3 linked regions of the Drosophila melanogaster genome follow. The protein of the gene in region 1 interacts with the protein of each later gene in a pairwise test. Each region holds a gene or a part of one and is shown on either strand. Other genes may lie near its edges. The genes, in order: Dim1, CG8925 and t-Grip84.

The links.
Region 2: the proteins of Dim1 (region 1) and CG8925 interact in a two-hybrid assay, tested with the Drosophila melanogaster proteins (one large-scale study listed by BioGRID).
Region 3: the proteins of Dim1 (region 1) and t-Grip84 interact in a two-hybrid assay, tested with the Drosophila melanogaster proteins (one large-scale study listed by BioGRID).

What each region holds. Positions count from the first base shown.
Region 1 is NT_033779.5:4,400,024-4,405,577, forward strand, and holds Dim1 (Dim1), read left to right. Parts: upstream 1-3,227; 5' UTR 3,228-3,313; coding exon 3,314-3,391; intron 3,392-3,490; coding exon 3,491-3,841; 3' UTR 3,842-3,932; downstream 3,933-5,554. Other genes in the region: CG33003 (uncharacterized protein), read left to right, coding at 1,097-1,266, 1,327-1,745, 1,843-3,068.
Region 2 is NT_033777.3:16,168,590-16,174,688, forward strand, and holds the start of CG8925 (uncharacterized protein), read left to right. Parts: upstream 1-3,401; 5' UTR 3,402-3,567; coding exon 3,568-3,930; intron 3,931-5,718; coding exon 5,719-5,910; intron 5,911-6,099. Other genes in the region: CG6006 (uncharacterized protein), read left to right, coding at 1-118, 1,106-1,432, 1,500-1,655.
Region 3 is NT_037436.4:7,587,970-7,594,068, forward strand, and holds t-Grip84 (testis-specific gamma-tubulin ring protein 84), read right to left. Parts: upstream 3,030-6,099; 5' UTR 2,950-3,029; coding exon 763-2,949; 3' UTR 639-762; downstream 1-638. Other genes in the region: Pura (Puratrophin-1-like), read left to right, coding at 5,309-5,476.

The sequences.
Region 1 (5,554 bases):
TTGTGTACTAACATGTAAAAGACTTGCAATTATTGTATGAAATATACGTATGGTTAAACTGAAGTCCCATCTTTAAACAAGTAAAAGTCGCAGGCATTTTCAATAATTGAATTGGGAAAGTGGCATGCCTAGAACTGGTTCTCCGCAGATACCTTAATACCAAGATGATAACTGGGAGGGGCAATACTATATAGCACGCCCGAACAGGTGCTAATCCGGAGAGGCACGCCGCAGCAAGTGCCGCAGTTACTGACCCACATCCGCGGCCAGGAAGTTGACAGATATTTATGTCTTTACTTTATCAACAGAAATCGGTCAATATTAGATCCTGATGTGGAAATATTTGTATTTTTCATTCATCAATGTGTTTAAAAAAGTTACTAGAGTAATGATAGAATATTGTGTTTTGTATTTTGTAGACGTTAAGTAGAAGTAATATTTACATAGGTAACTAACACGCGTGTGGCACCTCCAATATCAAGTATTTTTAATAAATTACGAAATTATTCCAACTATTTGTATGGTTTTTTCTGTTTAACCTGATCAATAAGATTGAGCAGATACATCCTCATTTTTCATGACTATTCGAAATGTTACTAATTAGTTGCAAAATTGGAGCCACACGCCTAGTACCACATGAGGTGTATTCACCATATAGCCACGGATTCAAACTCTAGTTACACTCCACAAGCACAAATCCCAGTCGGCCGGGAGCACATAATGGAAGATGCCATCAGAAATGTGGAGTAACAATCAATTAGCACCTGCGATGTCGACGAAATGAAAGTGCTGTTCTGCCCGTTCAGATCGTTGGTATATAGATCACTTCTAGTAGCACCTTCTGCCCGGAATCTGGGTCATGAAAAAACGAAATCACGAACTTGCCCAAACGGAGTCGAATAAAACCAATGGTCGGCCCAGTGCTCCGTTGTATTCCAAAATTTCTCGCGACACGGTGCGGTGGTGTTTTTGTTTCCGAGCTCCGGCGGACATGAGGACAGTATAGCCCCCAAGGAAACTTAGTGATAGTGCGCAGCTATAATTATATTTATAAAGTGTTCCGAGGTGAAACGATATCAAGATACGAGATCACACGATGCGTTTAGAAGGCGCCAACTGGGCGCTGGTGGTGGGTCTCAGTCTAATCCTTGGATTTGGACGAGTCCAAGCCTATTCTCAGGTTTTGGTCAGCGGCACTGGAGCTGCAAACGATCAGGGACCACGTATCTTCAAGGCTCTAAATACGGATTTGATATTTCCGAGGACGTAAGTTGCAAGTGTTTACGAATCGGTGATCAAGTCTCCTGACACTTCCTGCCCGCGCAGCTTCAACTCCAGTGACAATGTGGTATCCACCACTGGAGCTCCAGTGATTACATCGACATCCACGACAAGTCCACCTCCTATTCCTTACAACCATCAACCCGAAGGAACAACCAGTTCCCCACTGTTTGTCACCCCGTTAGTTGTCACAGAGGCGGAAAAAGTCGATGATCCTGCTCCAGTATCCGAGGAGCAAACAGAGCCAGTCGTACAAGGAGCCTCCACAGGACGCGCCGTGGACTACAGGACAGCGTATCCCTTTGGCCAACTGATAACTCCGTTGCTGCGAGGCGGCAAGCCGCAGCAGTACAACTCCCGACCAACGAAGACACGTATTTACCCGCAAGGTATACCATCCTACTACTCTTCATCATCACAAAATCCATCCCGCTATCAAGCTTCGAGGCCCAGCTATAAGAAAGGTATCATCATCGCATCAATAGAGCATACAAATCAAAACAGTTCTTAAATTCTCTAACAAATATTTTTATACATACTTATCTTTGTATTTAACCTAAGGAATCGCCGATCGTTTTGCTCCTGGCGAGGGAACCGCCGCTGGTCTGTTCAAGGGACACAATCATGATCACAGTCACGACCACAGTCACGATCATTCCCATGGACAGGATGGCAAGGTGGCCGCCGGCTCCAATTCGGTGAACTCCTATGTTTCTCCAGGCGATACGTACTCCTTTCCGCCGTTGAACACAAAGTATCCATCACCGTCACAGGATCCCAAGGCTGCATTGCCATCGGATACCGTGACCAGTTACCTGCCACCCGCATCTGGAGGGCTGAGCAACGCTGGATACATATATCCGGGGCCTTCTTCCAATGGTTACAAATATCCCGGTCCAGTGCCCAATAGCAATGCCGACAAGGATACGGCGGCCAGTATGGCGAGTGCTTCCCCGCCGGCTGATGATGACCCCGGTAATGATGATTCCATCGGAACCCTGCCAGCTAGTGCACAGGACAACATTCCTTCCAAGGATCAGGACAGTATGAGCGGTCCTGCTCCTGCAGATGGCATGGATATGGGATCTCCTGCTGATGGTGGAGATGGGGGTGGCGGTGGCGGCGGAGATGGGGACATCGGCGGTCTGCCATCTCTGCACAATGATGGTTCAGGTCCCGACGACGATCACAAATATGATCCCAATATGGAGTATGCCACACCACCGCCCGGTTGGCTGCAATCTCACCCAGAATCTGCGGCTCCCAAGCCGGATGATCACGATCACGACCATGCACCCGATCATGATCACGTGCATGATCACCACCACGATCACTATCCGACTCACTTCGACTACCAGCCCTCGTATCCGGATGATTCCTATCCGGATGTCATTTACGATGATCATCCACACCACCATCACCATGTCCACCACCCACCGCCTCCTCCTCCACCGCCACCACCACCACCGCCACCGCCACCGCCGACGGAACCACCACCACCTCCTCCGCCGCCACCAGAGCCACGTGTGAAGAAGTACAGCTACTTCTACATTGGCCGCAAGCTCTGGTACATCCCGCTCTACTTTACGGTGTGGTTCAGCTTCTACATCCTGTGGCTGATCATCAAGTCCATCGGTCGCCACAAAGTGAACCTACCCAATCACTACGTCTCGCGACGCAGTGCTCCCGATCCATTTACCGAGCAGGGACGGGACGAGTATATCAACGAGATGACGGTCAGGGTGCTGGAACACATAGATAGCTTTAAGCAGAAATACTTGAACTGATAAGGACGCTACTAATTACTAAATGCCTATTAAAAACTTAATTATAAACCGAACGTTCTTGCACTGCGTTTTATTGGGAAACACATTTTAAATTTCGATAGCCACATGGTTCCGTTTCCGCTGACAGCTGTCATCGATATGTAATCGATAAGGTTATGCTATCATTGTTAGTACATCACTATTTTGTGAGACTTTGTTTATGTTTTAATTTTTCTGCGGTAACTTGAAATAAAAAACGCGCCAGGATGTCGTATATGCTCCCTCATTTGCACAATGGCTGGCAGGTGGACCAGGCCATTCTCTCCGAGGAGGACCGAGTAGTTGTGAGTAATCGCAGTCGGTTTAAGAAGACACTGCTTCGTGGAGCACCACTTGGTCAATCACCCATCAGACATAAATAATCAGAATTGTTTCCCCTTCAGGTAATACGTTTCGGTCACGATTGGGACCCCGCCTGCATGAAAATGGATGAGGTCATGTACAGCATCGCCGAGAAGGTGAAGAACTTTGCTGTCATCTATTTGGTGGACATTACCGAGGTGCCGGACTTCAACAAGATGTACGAGTTGTACGATCCTTGCACGGTGATGTTCTTCTTCCGCAACAAGCACATCATGATCGATTTGGGCACGGGCAACAACAACAAGATCAACTGGCCACTGGAGGACAAGCAGGAGATGATCGACATTGTGGAAACGGTGTATCGAGGTGCCCGTAAGGGCCGTGGTCTGGTAGTCTCGCCCAAGGACTACTCTACCAAGTACAGATACTAAGGTGGGTCGCGTACCCCGCCGACTTAGTTTAATGTATCCCATTTAGGCGTAACAAATTGATGATCCCAAATAGAAGCGACTGTCTCTTGGCAACTTGTGTATATGTATTTTCTTCTGGTTTATTTTTCACTTGTCACATTTCTCATTAATATCGCTAACATGTACATCAATTTCTTGGTTTTTCATATATAACATTTAACTAAGTTTGTTCTTTAATAGCTCATACTTTTAAAAATTTTAATCCGTTCTTTAAAGTAAACTTTCATTAATAATTCTTGTATTTGCGCGTTAGTAGTACACATATTCGTTTTAATTTCGAATTGCTTTCATTTACCAATTTGATCAATTATGCTTTGAGTTTAGCTAGAGGTACATATAGACATCAATCGAGCTTATAAACATTATGGAAATTAGGTCGGACTATGGAAAGGGGGGCGTTAGTACAAAAGTATAAAAGAAAACATCGCAACGAAACATTCGCGGGAAAAGGAAAGAAGTCTTTTCTAGTAAAAACACTAAGTACTCGTATTCGAAGTTCACAAATTGAATGGCCTACGCATTGGTGCCGATATCCAAACTTTGTCTTCAACATTGTTATTGTTCATTTAATACAACAGCTCAGTTTTATTACAGATTTATTATGCTTAGGTTTAACAATTGGTTCCGCTACTCTTTGACTTACACAAGTTAGGTTTGCTCATTGGTTTCATTAAATATAGGTATGTATATTTATCTACGTTATTAGTTATATGTATATGTTTGCTCATTTGAAACAAATCAACGCTACAATTACAATATTTTCATTTACGAATTTTCATTTACGCTTACGTTCTTCAGCATATAACCAACAATTAAATGTTTGTGTTTCTGGGGGATTTTCCTTTTGATATACCATTTCCATTTCCTAGGCGCCTTTCGAGTTGATCTCGTCGTACAAAATACTTACTAGTATTAAAAAATATTCAAATAGGGCTCGATTTATACATGTGTGGTGTATATAAATATATACTTATGCATAGGATAGGTACAAATCAGGCTCAGGCTGAGGCTCAGGCGTGTTAGAAAGTCTCTGGGGGGCTGGGGCACCTCAAAATGCAGCTCTATCATATTATCTCGCCTTTCGACCACTAATTGTGTATTTTGATTTGAGTAATCCGAGTTATTTGATTCATTTCCCTTCCCTTGGCTTTAGCTTTTCATAGAAAAATAGAGATGCGTAGGTGGGATGAGTTAGGAAATTGTTTACATACATGTTCGTCATTTTTCTATATTCGCTTTCTAACTTTATATTCTGACAACAACTCTATTATATATCCAACAACAATTCATTTTCGAACAGGCAGGAGCGGGGAAATGCGAAAATGTTCCTGGAAAGTCGTCACCTTTTGTCTAGCTACGCGTTAAGGACATTTAGGCATCTTCGGGCGGACCCCTCGAGGTCCTTAAGGTCTTCGGTCAGAGTACTTTTGTTGCAAGGATAACACGACATCGCTGGATTCGATGCGAAGTTGCGGTGCACTCTATAAAATTTCTAAATTACAATACTTTAAGTATTTGGCTGCTGGTTAAGACACTAGAAGAGTTTTCATTCCGTAAGAGGGAGAGCTATAGATAGAGATAGAAAGACCGATATATGGTGGCGACTGGCGATATATCTATAGAAATATATGTATAAACTTTCTCTTCAGTATGGCGCCGCATACAAATATATAT
Region 2 (6,099 bases), on another chromosome or scaffold:
CAGTTACCTGCGTCGCATCTCCATTTGCTTCTTTTGCATCTGGTTCACCATGAATCTGGTATACTACGGCATTATTCTTAACATGAGCTCCTTTGGCGGCAATGTCTACTTGAATTCGGTGAGTTATGCTGCTTTTAAGAAATTAAGTATACGTAGGGCGGGCGCAGTTCAATCCACTTAGGCAAATCATCGGCGACGGCATGGGAATCTTCAGCCGAAATCTTGTTAACATATAGGATCAATCAGGCATTTAGCCACCGCCAAGAGGTTCACCATTTTCGGTGGCACTGATGGCCACCTAATTGGATTTGTCAGCAATTCCATCAGACGCTGACTAAAGACTGTCTGTTCGATGTCAAGTGTTCTCCGACTGGCTGGACGGTGTGAAAATGTGCTTGCAATCGAATTATAATGTTACTGGCCCACACCCACCTCCAATCCATCCACAATATAGTAGATAAATCCTGTCGCGGCCGCAGCGCCACTCGCAGCCATCTTAGCCCCTTCCACCTGGCAGATGGCCAGCAAAATGTTGAGAGCACAGTGCTGGCGGGCCTTGAGTGTACAATATGTTCGGCATGTTTGGCATTTTTTCGGGATTTGATTGTTTTAAAGCACTAAGCACCTAATGTTGTCCGAAATCCATGTTTGTTTGTTTGGTTGTTTTTTTTTTTATTTTTTGTTGTGGAACGAAAAGCTAATGGAATAAGTGGGCTAAAGATGTTCAGTTTGCGCCAGACATGTCTAAAGATTTTCGTACAGGTAACAATATTTTAATGTATAATATGAAAGCTGTGTATGTGTTTTATTACCTAAAAATCCTAAATAACCTTAAATTATCTACTAAGCACATTATTTGTGTGCAATTCGAGTCCGAATTTCTCGACTTTAGCCAGCCAACTGCTCAGCACTGTCCAGCATTCGCCAATGGGCGTGACAGCGAGGTTTTCAGCTAATTTATTGCATAATTTATTTTGACAACGCCGAGCGCACCTTTGATGCCGCTCTGATTTAATGCGCCCAGCCGACAGCTGACATCTTGTCCACTTGCCCTCGTCGTCCTCATCCCCTCCTGAATGTTATGTTTTATCTATGTTTTCCACAGGCGCTAGCTGGCCTAGTCGAAATACCCGCCATCGCCGTGGCCATGTACATCATCACCAAAGTGGGCAAGAAGTGGCTCTTTTGCGCCACTTTGATCTGTGCCGGCGTCGCCTGCTGCTGTGCGGCGATCACCGAGGGGCATGCGGATCTGCTCTGGCTGAAGATCACATTCCTGATGATGGGCAAGTTCACCATTAGTGCTGGCAATACCATAATGCCGGTGTACACGGCGGAACTGTATCCCACGCCCATACGCAATGTGGGCGTGGGTGCCTGCAATGTGGCCGCCGGTTTGGCCTTGATCCTCACACCATACCTGTCGCTACTGGTGAGTTTACCTCTTGTAGGGACATGCTCATAAGGATAAACCGTAACCCTGAACTTATGTCTTTCAGAACAAGATCGAGGGCCATCTCTTGATGACTCTGCTCACCGCCTGGAGCATCTTTGGCGGCTTTGTGGTGCTCTTCCTGCCCGAAACCGCTGTGCGTCAGAAGACAGACAACCAGGGTGGCTCAAGTGCCAATGCCAGTGCCGCCAAGCAGGTGTAATGACCGCCATTGCCAATCCTAACCTGCTCAGCCCACGAGGAACAAAGTATTTTGGCTGGTCCAAAGTATGCCGATTAGAAGTCAGCGTATCCAACGCAGTTGCTGTCTCTCTGCCCCCCACTTAACCCCCAATCTGCCACGCCACCCGACATATCCACCGCCTGAAGCCACCTAAAATGTATGGTAACGATTCGATGAATGTCCAAAAGTAATGCCAATTCGCTGGAGAACGTCACATGTCAGGCAGGACCTTGTTTGCGTAGCACGTAATGAGTATGTATCTTACTAACTAACAACAATGGCTTGTAGCTTATGTCATAATCTAAGTACTGAAAACACACAGAACACCCAGAATGTTACCAAAAACACTCGAAGTAGCTTAAGTTCTTCGGTTCCCATCGAAGGTTATAAATTTGACCCAAGTTTAGGGAGGGTTTGCAATGGGAGCTTACAAACTTATTTTAATACAGCTTTATTATATTATTTTATAATTTTATTTAAATGGTTTTAAAAATAAGGAAGTATTTTTTTGTACGTGATTGCGCCACAAGCTCCCTAGGAAGAGTAATAAAAATAAAAAATTACCCAGTAAATACAGAGCGCTTAATTACGGAATTACCAATTCAATTACAAACGAATTAAAGTTCACACAAAGAAAATTTTAGAAAAACAATTTATAATGTTGTCAATATGTCTTGTCAATATCTCAACGTATGCATAATCTCGTCGTCGTCGTCGTCGTCTTCTTGTTGTCTATTAATAAATGTTTTCCAAATACGAGATGAATAAGCAGAGAAGCTCAATCTTCCACAGAAAAGAGAAATGAGAATGGCAGATTTAAGCGACCATTTGTAATCTCTAGTAATCGTAGTCAATTAATCCTTAGTCTACCCTTAAACGTATCTACAACAGATCAGTCTCTAAGTATCGGTCAATTATGGATTTGTATATATTGTCTGTTTGTGTGTGGAGGAGACACAGGACATACAAGGAGTTTTACTGTTTGGAGCCATCAAAGAATATATGTATATGAAATGAACAAATAAATTTCCAATATAATGCATTTAACAATGTATACAATTATGTGTATATGGATATGTGTGCGTTTGTGTATGTATATGTAGAGAAAAACAAAAACAATCAAATTAGAGAAAGCCAACCTGTTGAATTACTTGTTGTACTTACCTATCAAGTTGTTATGTGCTCATTTGTATTTTGTATTATTTTCCGCAATATAATGTCGCTTATTTTACATTTATTTTTGTTGCCTATTGTACTTACCCGCTAAGATCATATCAGCTTTGTTATGTACTATTTGTCATTAGTAAGAGATTTCATTAAGCTTCAAACAAACGGAATACCCGAATCTAAAACAACATTAAATTAATTGTTAAGTTAAAGTGTTTGAGCGAAACACAGACATAAATTTATGAAAATTGTTGTAAATCAAAATTACCAAAGCAAACGCAATTATAGTGTCAAAATAAAACATAAATAAATAAATAAATAAATAAATTAAAACAAAAGCAATTGTGTCGATATGGAGATATGGATAGTCCTGGCGGAAGTGAATGTCACTCAAGTCGAGCGAAAGCTTTCGCAGGCCTATACCAAATCAATTGATCGTGGGGTAGTAGTCGAAGCTTTGAGTTGAGCTTTTTCGATACTGGCAATGCCATGCATATAGCTTTCGCTCTTTTGCAGATTTACAGAGTGCTTATAACAGAGCCCCAAACCGTTAACGGTTCCAGATCGATGCCGACGGCTGAGATACTAACGATCGACGCGGTTTTGTACTTATTTTCAATCGATCGATTGGCGCACCAAGTGGAGTAATAAAATCGGAGGGTTTCGAAATCGCTTGATATCGTCCATATACAAAAAAAAAAACCTATATATATACCTCCTCGATATGAGTGGCGTGCTGCGTCGCGGTTCCCTGAATTTCGATTGCGTTGGCGGGCCGCGGGACAAGGGCAGGGGCAGCCTGGAGGCGAACCTGTATGGCGGATATCGCGAGACAAGGCCCGGCCCAAAGACTCCGGAAATCAGTGTCATAGCATTGGACTTTCGACGATATTCCGAGGACCTGAAGAAACCACCTTCAGCGGAGCAAACGGAGCAGCCACCGAGCAGGGATCTCAGTCAGGATGAGGACAGCGATGTGATATCAAATTTCCTGGGCCACTACACCCGCTGGAGTTTTCTTTGGACCCTGCTGCTCTGCCTGTTCCAGTTGCCCACCACTTTTCACCTGTTCATGTTTGTCTTCCAGGTGAGTTTTGGTTTTATGGCTTGGCAAATATTTGACCAGTTGATTGCGTCGCCCGAAAAACATCGAAATCAAATATTTTTGTACGCTAAAACCACCCGCCCACCAAACCCCTCCCAAACTTCCCCGGATGTTTGATAGTTTGTGCTTAGACCGGAAGAAAACATTATGCAACTCAAATTGATTGATAGCTGTAAACTCTGTAAAGTAATTTGCACTAATAATAGGCGGCTAATTGGATGTGTATATCATCTGAAAGGTGTTGACAATGAGTGGAAAACGAAAGAGAGTTTGACATTACAAAACGTTATCAGCAAACGAGTTTGCTATAAACGAGTAACAGTAACAAAACAAGTGATAACACACTGAAGAGCTTGCCACTTGAGTTTGTTGGCCAGCAATCAAGGTAGCTCGCATGCCAATTTCGGCCCAGCAATTTCAGACCCACTTGGCTTTGATTTTGTTTTAAATATTTTTTGAAATGCCTCTCGACCTTCGAGCACCTTTGACCAACATTCAGGGAGGCTGTCACAACACTGAGTACTTAGGAGCCATTTATCGGCATGCGGGTTGCGTGTGCATCATTTGCCTATGTTTTGAAGTTTCGATGCCACCGCTAATCAGCGTAATCATCGTCTATCGTGCTAATGTCCAACTGAAAAAGTAGCCCCAAATCGAAGGGAGCTGAGCAAAAACCACATGCGACCTTGACACACACGATCTGCGGAACGGTGGGTAATAGAGCTTGGCCAGAACCAATGGCAAATGCAATGGTCATTCAAAGAACACAAGAAGTTCGATTGCCTGAGCACAGTTATTTTGCAGAGGTTAATTATACCAATTGAGCGGCTGTAAATTGGGGAATAAGTGGGGGGAATGGTTAGGTTCAGCATGTTGCGTGATGCAACTGAGAGGAAGTGTTAGCTCATTTGGAAAAGTTCATAAAACAATTAGAGGAAATACTTTGACATCTCTCAATATTAAAGTTTCTGTTCTGTCAAACCCATCTATCAGCTTGAAATATTGAAGTATTTGTCTAATCATTTATAGAGACTTAATTGACTAGTAGTAAAATAGGTAATAAATAAGCATTTTTGATAAAAGTTATTGCACAGGAGGTACTGATTTAATTGTTTCTGTGTTCTTCTTCTTTTTTCCTTGATAACCACTGTGTTATCTTGGGAAGACAAACAATAACCAATTGTTTAAGACTGTAGTCTATGAAAACTATTCACTGAATTTACATGAAGCAATCAAAAATTGACAGTCACCGATAAGATAACGACTGTCGAACTGAAAGAAAGTTCGGTTCTATAAAGATTACTTTATGTTGGCCAGATGCTCCAAATGAAATTGACTCGTCGAAGAGTGTGCATTAGCCTTGTGGGTGGAGTTGGTCAAGGCACTCCCCAGAAAGGTCGACAGTCTACAAAATTATAAAGTCATCAAGTGATTCTTTAATGACTCATTTGGCCGGGTGTGAAGACGGAGCTAACAAGTAATTTGACTATCGCAACATCGCGCTGTGTTCGGACATTATCTTAGGGCCCCCACAGAAATCAGAAACAACGGCGCGCCTGCATAAAAACCAGAGACACGGCCGAATCTCTCTGACATACGCACTCACGGCTCTCGACACCTCGGAGCACTTCAGAACGTCGGCCCACCGAATCTTGCATCTGAAACCAATTTAAATTTCATAAGATATATTTTCGAAAGTCAACATTCTAACTCAGTTGACGTGCAACGCACGGCGTAAGCGGTTGCACTTCGAACCGGGCCACAATGGAGCTAACGGATGTGAGATCGGGCGAGGCCTCGCCCATGTTGAGCGATGGGAACATGGAGAACCTAGATCTGTTGCACACTAAGCTCCTGGAGCGGCTCTTGGGCTGCCTAACGCCATGGCAGAGCATGTGGTGCGCCCTGCTCTCGATCTTCCAGGCCATCTGCACCTTCCACATATTCGTCTACGTGTTCCAGGTGAGTCAGTCGGCCTCTGGCCAACAACATTAGCCATCGTTGCGCTCCATCGCCTGCCACCTGTGCCCATCATCGCTGGCACCGCCAGTGCCAACTAATATTGGCCAACTACAACGCAACCGCAATTGACAAGGTTCTGTATATTAGCCTGCATGTGGTACCTCCTCCCCCAATGTCAGTTATCAGCGC
Region 3 (6,099 bases), on another chromosome or scaffold:
CAATGCATCTGAACTTTACCATAATTTCGAGTGCATTATTATTGGCCCGCTCTGGGCAGTTGAATGCAAAGTTGCAGATACATTTTACGTTGCATCATCATCATCGACGTCGACCACCTGTTGTCCTTAAAGCGATAAGTATTAAGTGATTTCTGGACAGCCGCTCGCGAGTTTTCCTTTTTTTTCCCCCATTTATTTATTAATACAATTTTCGTGCGCTTGCGTGCGTCTGCAACTGAGGCAAGTGCATTTACATAACAATTGGCCTTTGAATTCAAATTGGCAGCGGGCTTTGGCCCCTCCAACGAATCGGGCTATACCCAGACTGAGGCTGAGGCTGCGGGACTGCATTAAAATCTCTTTACCGCCATTTAAAATAATTTACGATCTTATGCAAATCGCCGCTTTCGTTGCACTAGCCCCCAAACTTGCCACCGTGACTCGACATAATGCTCGTTGGCCAGAAATTAAACGCACACATCGATTATTCACGCCCATTGTGCGCCACTTAACAATAACTTAAAAGTGGAAGAGCGCCACAGGTGTCATACGCATAAGACAAGCTCACACTTGTGGATAATGGATTGATAGCTTTTTGAATCTCAAAGGATTAATAAAGTAAATGAAAGAGTTAACTTCATTTTGCAAGAACGCTCTTATAATATAGTTAAGTAAACACAGCACTAAATGTTCCATGGGTCATGGAGAGTAAAAAGCACGGGTGATTTGGCGAAGCTGTTGGACACGTTTTGATGCCGTTGATTAAATATTGGAAGCTATTTGATCCTTATCCAAATCGGAGAACTCAATTAACTCCCCAAGTCGTTTGAGCAATTGTTTACAGGAGTCCCGTTCCGCAATGTCTTTCGTCTTAGCCAACTGGCTAACCAACTCCAAAATGCTGGTCAAAAAGCTTTTAAATTCCTCTTCGTACTCGACCACTTCCTGCTCGAGTTCTTTGGTACTTTTCTCTCCTATCGAGGATTCCACAAAGTCACAAAAGTTGAGACACACATGACCGAGTGTGTATAGAGATTTCACAAACGTGTTGGCAGTGGGTAGTAACCCCAGACGCAGGCATTCTTCTACGGTGCTCTCCAATTTGTTTAGTACCTCGTCGATACATTTTGCCTTGTCCACCGTTAAGGTCAAAGATTGCCATCGGGGTTCGGTGATGTCCTGGATGATGTGGTTTTCCAGACTTAGCATACACATTAGCATGCGGTGGCGAAGTTTTCCAGATCGATTGGTTAGCTGGAGACCCGTACCCTCACAAGGACTTTGCCAAAGGACTGTCAAATGATGTTTCACATAGTGCAAAAAAAACAGGACACGCTGTAACATCTGCAATTGCTCTAGGAGCTCCGGGTAGATAATAAAGCTTAGTGGCCATTTTGTTTCATAGCCAAGAGCTAATGCCTCGTAGCCGTAGAGATTCAGGACCTCCGGAGGATCCTGCTCGCTGCAGCTCTCCTTCTCCTCCTCTTCTTCATCTTCTACAGCTCTCTGTGCTTTATGTTGCCTACCCAATAGTGTGGCTACATCGCAAACCTTAAGCTGACAGCGAACATTATCCTTAATGAAATCATTGGACTTATGCAGGGTCTCTGCTAGAAGAGTCTGTAGCTTCTCGGGAATTAACCTTTCCACATTGTACTTTAGGTACTCATGGCATTTGTGCAGAAAAGTTTCGGAGAAGCCTTCCTCCTGCAGCAGGAAATAGGACTTCAAATTGCGAATGTGTAAAGGCAAATTGTGCTCCTCCACCAAAACCTTGAGAAACTTATGTGCTGGCAGCTCATAGCTTGTTTTAATGATCTCCTCATGTCCCAAATCGCCTTGACTATAAGCTAGTGGCCGCTGTAGCAGCTTCAATGAAACATTGCACTGCCTCAAAATGTTTAGGTACTTTCCGGCCAGAAAAATATCATCCGCCTGGGAAAGCAAGAAACCGGGCAAACGGTCTGGCAAAAGGCGGTACCGTTCCGCCCAGTAGGCGTGGCAACATTTCTCCGGCGCCAAAAGAGTACTGCTCATTGTACTCGAGGGCTCCGTGTCCTCCACAAAAAACTCATGCTGCGTATCGAATAGAACACCCTTTTGCATCCAAAGCTGAACAATTTTCATGTAAGCTCGACTAGTCGAAGTCAAAATTTTGTTCACTCGTTCCTTTAGATCTATATCAGTGTCCTTCAGATCCCGGTAGAACTGGTCCAGCAATGTTAGGACCTGGGCGCTGGTCAAATTGCCACGGGCACTGCTGGCCATGTTGGAAAAAGTCTTCAAAATAGGCAACCAAGGACGCACCTGTCGCACCAGATCCTTGAGATCCAACTTCTTGTCCTGCAAATCCGTTTCCAACTTGGACTGTAGATCATAATAGTCCTGCAGTTGATCACTTAAGGCAGTGGCTAAGGTCAGTCGTGTTCTTCCGCAGTTAGGCGACATATTGGTCTCCTCTATATAGCTCTGTACACTAATATAATAACCTATCAGGGGTAATGTTTCATTGGCCAAAGCCCTAAAAGCCCCAGTGAAGGTCTTTTTCAATCGAAAGCGAATCTTGGCTATATCCACTGCAGACATTTCGGAAATCTGATCGATCTGAATATCAGGCTTTACATATGCAGATGGAACACCCGAGAAGGCATAGATTAGATCCCTCATCAGCAACTGTTCCTGACAAGGCAAACTCATCTTGGCCAAATTTTCGTTGGCGAGAAAGTAACCCCCAACGCTCTCGAAGATCCAGGACTCCTGCCGTGGCAGACTTGAGGACGAGCTCGTATTGCAATTATGACCGCTGTTTTCGCTTCCTGATGGACGCATTTTTTCGTCTACGGATTCCTCACGGTCGTGAATTTTCCTCATCTGCCGCTCCAGCTCGTCCTTACTGAGGTGAAAGCGCACTTTGTTCGCGAAGTCACTTTCCGATTTGTCGGAGTTCATGGTGAATAAGAAAATATATCAAGAACAGAGATCGATTTCGAAGCTTAAAATTATTTAAGTGTTCTCTGAATGATTATAATAACTAAGGTATGTTGGATAGATTGAAATTAAATAATTAAATATATGTAAAGTTAGTAGAGTTTTTGGTTGTTATAACAATAGGTGCTAGTGCTGAGTACACCTAACTTCTGCTAGTTCTGATTTCCATTTCTGCTTATTATCAAACTTAACTCTAGCCATTTGTGAAAGGTGGTTACTTTCGGTGATATCCGCTGAATCGTCGAGGTAAATCAACTTGGTTTTGAATCTGGATCCCCATCGATCATCGTGCCCAGCGGCGACATCTTCGCCTCTGGTTTCGTCGAAGTTTGGAGCCACAGGTGCATTTCAAGCCCATACTTCAACGATTCAAGTTGAGCTGGGCGATCCGACGCCCAGTTGTCAATCAAGCGGAGCAGCAGAACCAACTGACGAACGTGCTGAGAATTTTCCATCAATTTCTACGCGATGGGAACTTCGAACTTTCTATGTGCTTGTATCCAAAATATCCGCACACAGTGAGAAATTTTTTTTTTGGTACATATTATTAGGGTGCTTAAACAAATTTGTGAAATCTTAAAACTATGAATTGGATTTAATGAAAATGATTTGCAGTGAGTGAATTATGTATGTGAATATGTGTATTGTTTATTATATTGATAAAAATCAATTTTTCCTCTGCATGTGAAACACTTGAAAGTATCGCACAGGCAACGAGATAACCATGAGAACACTTTATATATGGGCCTTTGTCGCGTGAGTGCCACTTGTCGTGTTTTTGTTGCTACCGCTGTAGCTGCAGTTGCTGTTGCACATGTTGTTGTTATAGTTGTTGTTATTGTCTGTGCCCCCTTTTTGTTGCTGCGCTCGTTTTCTCGCTGTTCTCATTCTAAACAATGCAAATGCAGCGTCAGCGGCTCTGCCAGCAACATTAGCATAAATAAATAAATAACCGTACTGGCAACGAGCGGGTAAATAACAAAATAGCAACACGGCCAGCAGACCGACCACAGCCAGTAACATTAATCTACGCTCCAAAAGCTTTCCGATAGACGTTCCATGGGCTTTTATCCTCCTCGCATTTTACGAGTATAGCAGACACCCAAAACACTTGTTTGCCTTCGTCGCCTAGCGGCGCTTGCACTTCGAAGACTGGGCGCGGTACAAGGGATCGCCTAGAAACGCCCACACACGAACTAGTGCAAGTACAGTGGTAATATGATATGGAGAAATGCCCGATTAAAAGTGTATAAAATATTTTTTTTAATTTTAAAACAAATTTTGCACTACCATGGGCGTTAATCTTTCTTTGTTTTAATATTTCTAAATTAAATAATAAATATTAAACATTAACATTAACATATTAAATATTAACATGAAACGTCGTATACTGCCACTTGACAAGGAAGATAATTTCAAAAATATTTGATTATTCCAAATTGTACATTCCATTTAATAATCTAATTTGGATATATATGTATATTGTATATTTTGAACTGAGTCACATACCAAATTTGACCACCCATTTTAGTTGTTTTGCGACCAATGTGCCTAGGCCGCCGATTACAAAAGCAACACCTTCGCCTTCACCGTAAAATGGGCCTCCCCTGCGTGTTTCACATGTGTCGCATGTGACTACCGTGGATTTTGCAGCCGCTTCTGCCGGCAATCAAATTGAGTGCAAAGCTCGGTTAAAAGCCGAGTATTCAAGTATTCGAGTGTTCGGACAGCAGAAGAGGTGTGATGTTTGATGGGTGTGTGTGTATGTGTGCAGCGAATGCAAAAACAGTTTCGATTTTTTTTTCAATTTTTCCACCTTCTGTTTTTGTCTCGATTCGGTGGGGCCCCAACTTATTGCATTATTTATGTACGAGTAGTACGATTTTTCTGGGTTCCCCAGTAAGCCACACGCACACGGTCCGCACCAGAAAATTGTATAAACAAAACGCGGAAAGCAACAAAAAAAAAAAAACGTTAAAATAAAAAAAAAAACAGTATAAGTATCAGTAGCGGTGACAATCGCAAGTGCAGGGCTCTCTCTCTGTCTCAAGTCTTGAGTCTCAAGTCGAGGAGTCTACTGCTCACACTCACTCAAAGTTTGCCGAGGTGGAGAAACAAACTCGGCGGCATTCTCAGTCAAACAACAAACGCAACTGAAGTAACAACGGTTCCGTACCGCGTACCGCCCCCAAAACAAAAGTGAAATTCTATTAGCTACCCGCCGTCTTGGCCAATCCGCCCAGGAATATCGCAGTGCTTAGCCATTCGCGAAAGTTATGGTATTTGATTCCGTTGAAAATCGGACTGAGTGCTGTGCTTAATGTTCCAGCTGCGCCGGGAAGTGTGGAGCGAGCGGTTGGGAGTCTGGGTGCAGCGCGTCCTCGTCATCGTCCTGCATCTGTGGCACCGCTCCAGTATGTCCTTTGTCCGGCGTCGCCAGGAGGCGTTCAAGTGGATTAGGCGCCGACTGGCCAGAAGGCAGTGTCACGTGAGTACACCGAAAGAAATAGGGTAGTAGCAACGTGACCACATCATTTAGCCACTTCTAAAGCCATTAAACTGATATACTTAATCTCAGTTGCTACAGAATTTAATGGGCTTTGAAATGAGATCATTGGTGAACAAATAAATATATAGACTTGACTGGATAGAGTCAATGTGGAAATAGAATAGCTATGTATTTAGGGTATTCTCTTGAAGTAGTTGCTCAATTTATCAATTACGAAAGCCAATGAGCGAGTGTTATTCGAATTTCAATATTTTAAGGCTGCTTTAGACATTACTAAACAGCTGTTTACTACTTTTTTAATAGCCAGCTTTAACAGAATATTAACGAAGTTGCATAGCCAAAATGAAATTGACACTGATCACAGGAGTACCATTAATCTACAAGAACAACTTAATAAATAGAAGCATCTGTGTAGTCATTAATATTATTCGCAAAAAGTGACTTTTTTCATTACCTTAGTACTTAGCACTTTCTAGAGTCAATAAAGTCAGTGCTCTATTATACAGGCCGGCAAAATAAGTTTTGTATTTTATCAAGGTATGCCTAATTACTAACCCTGAACATGTTTTTGTCCCTTTTCTGACTATCCAATTAGAGTTATG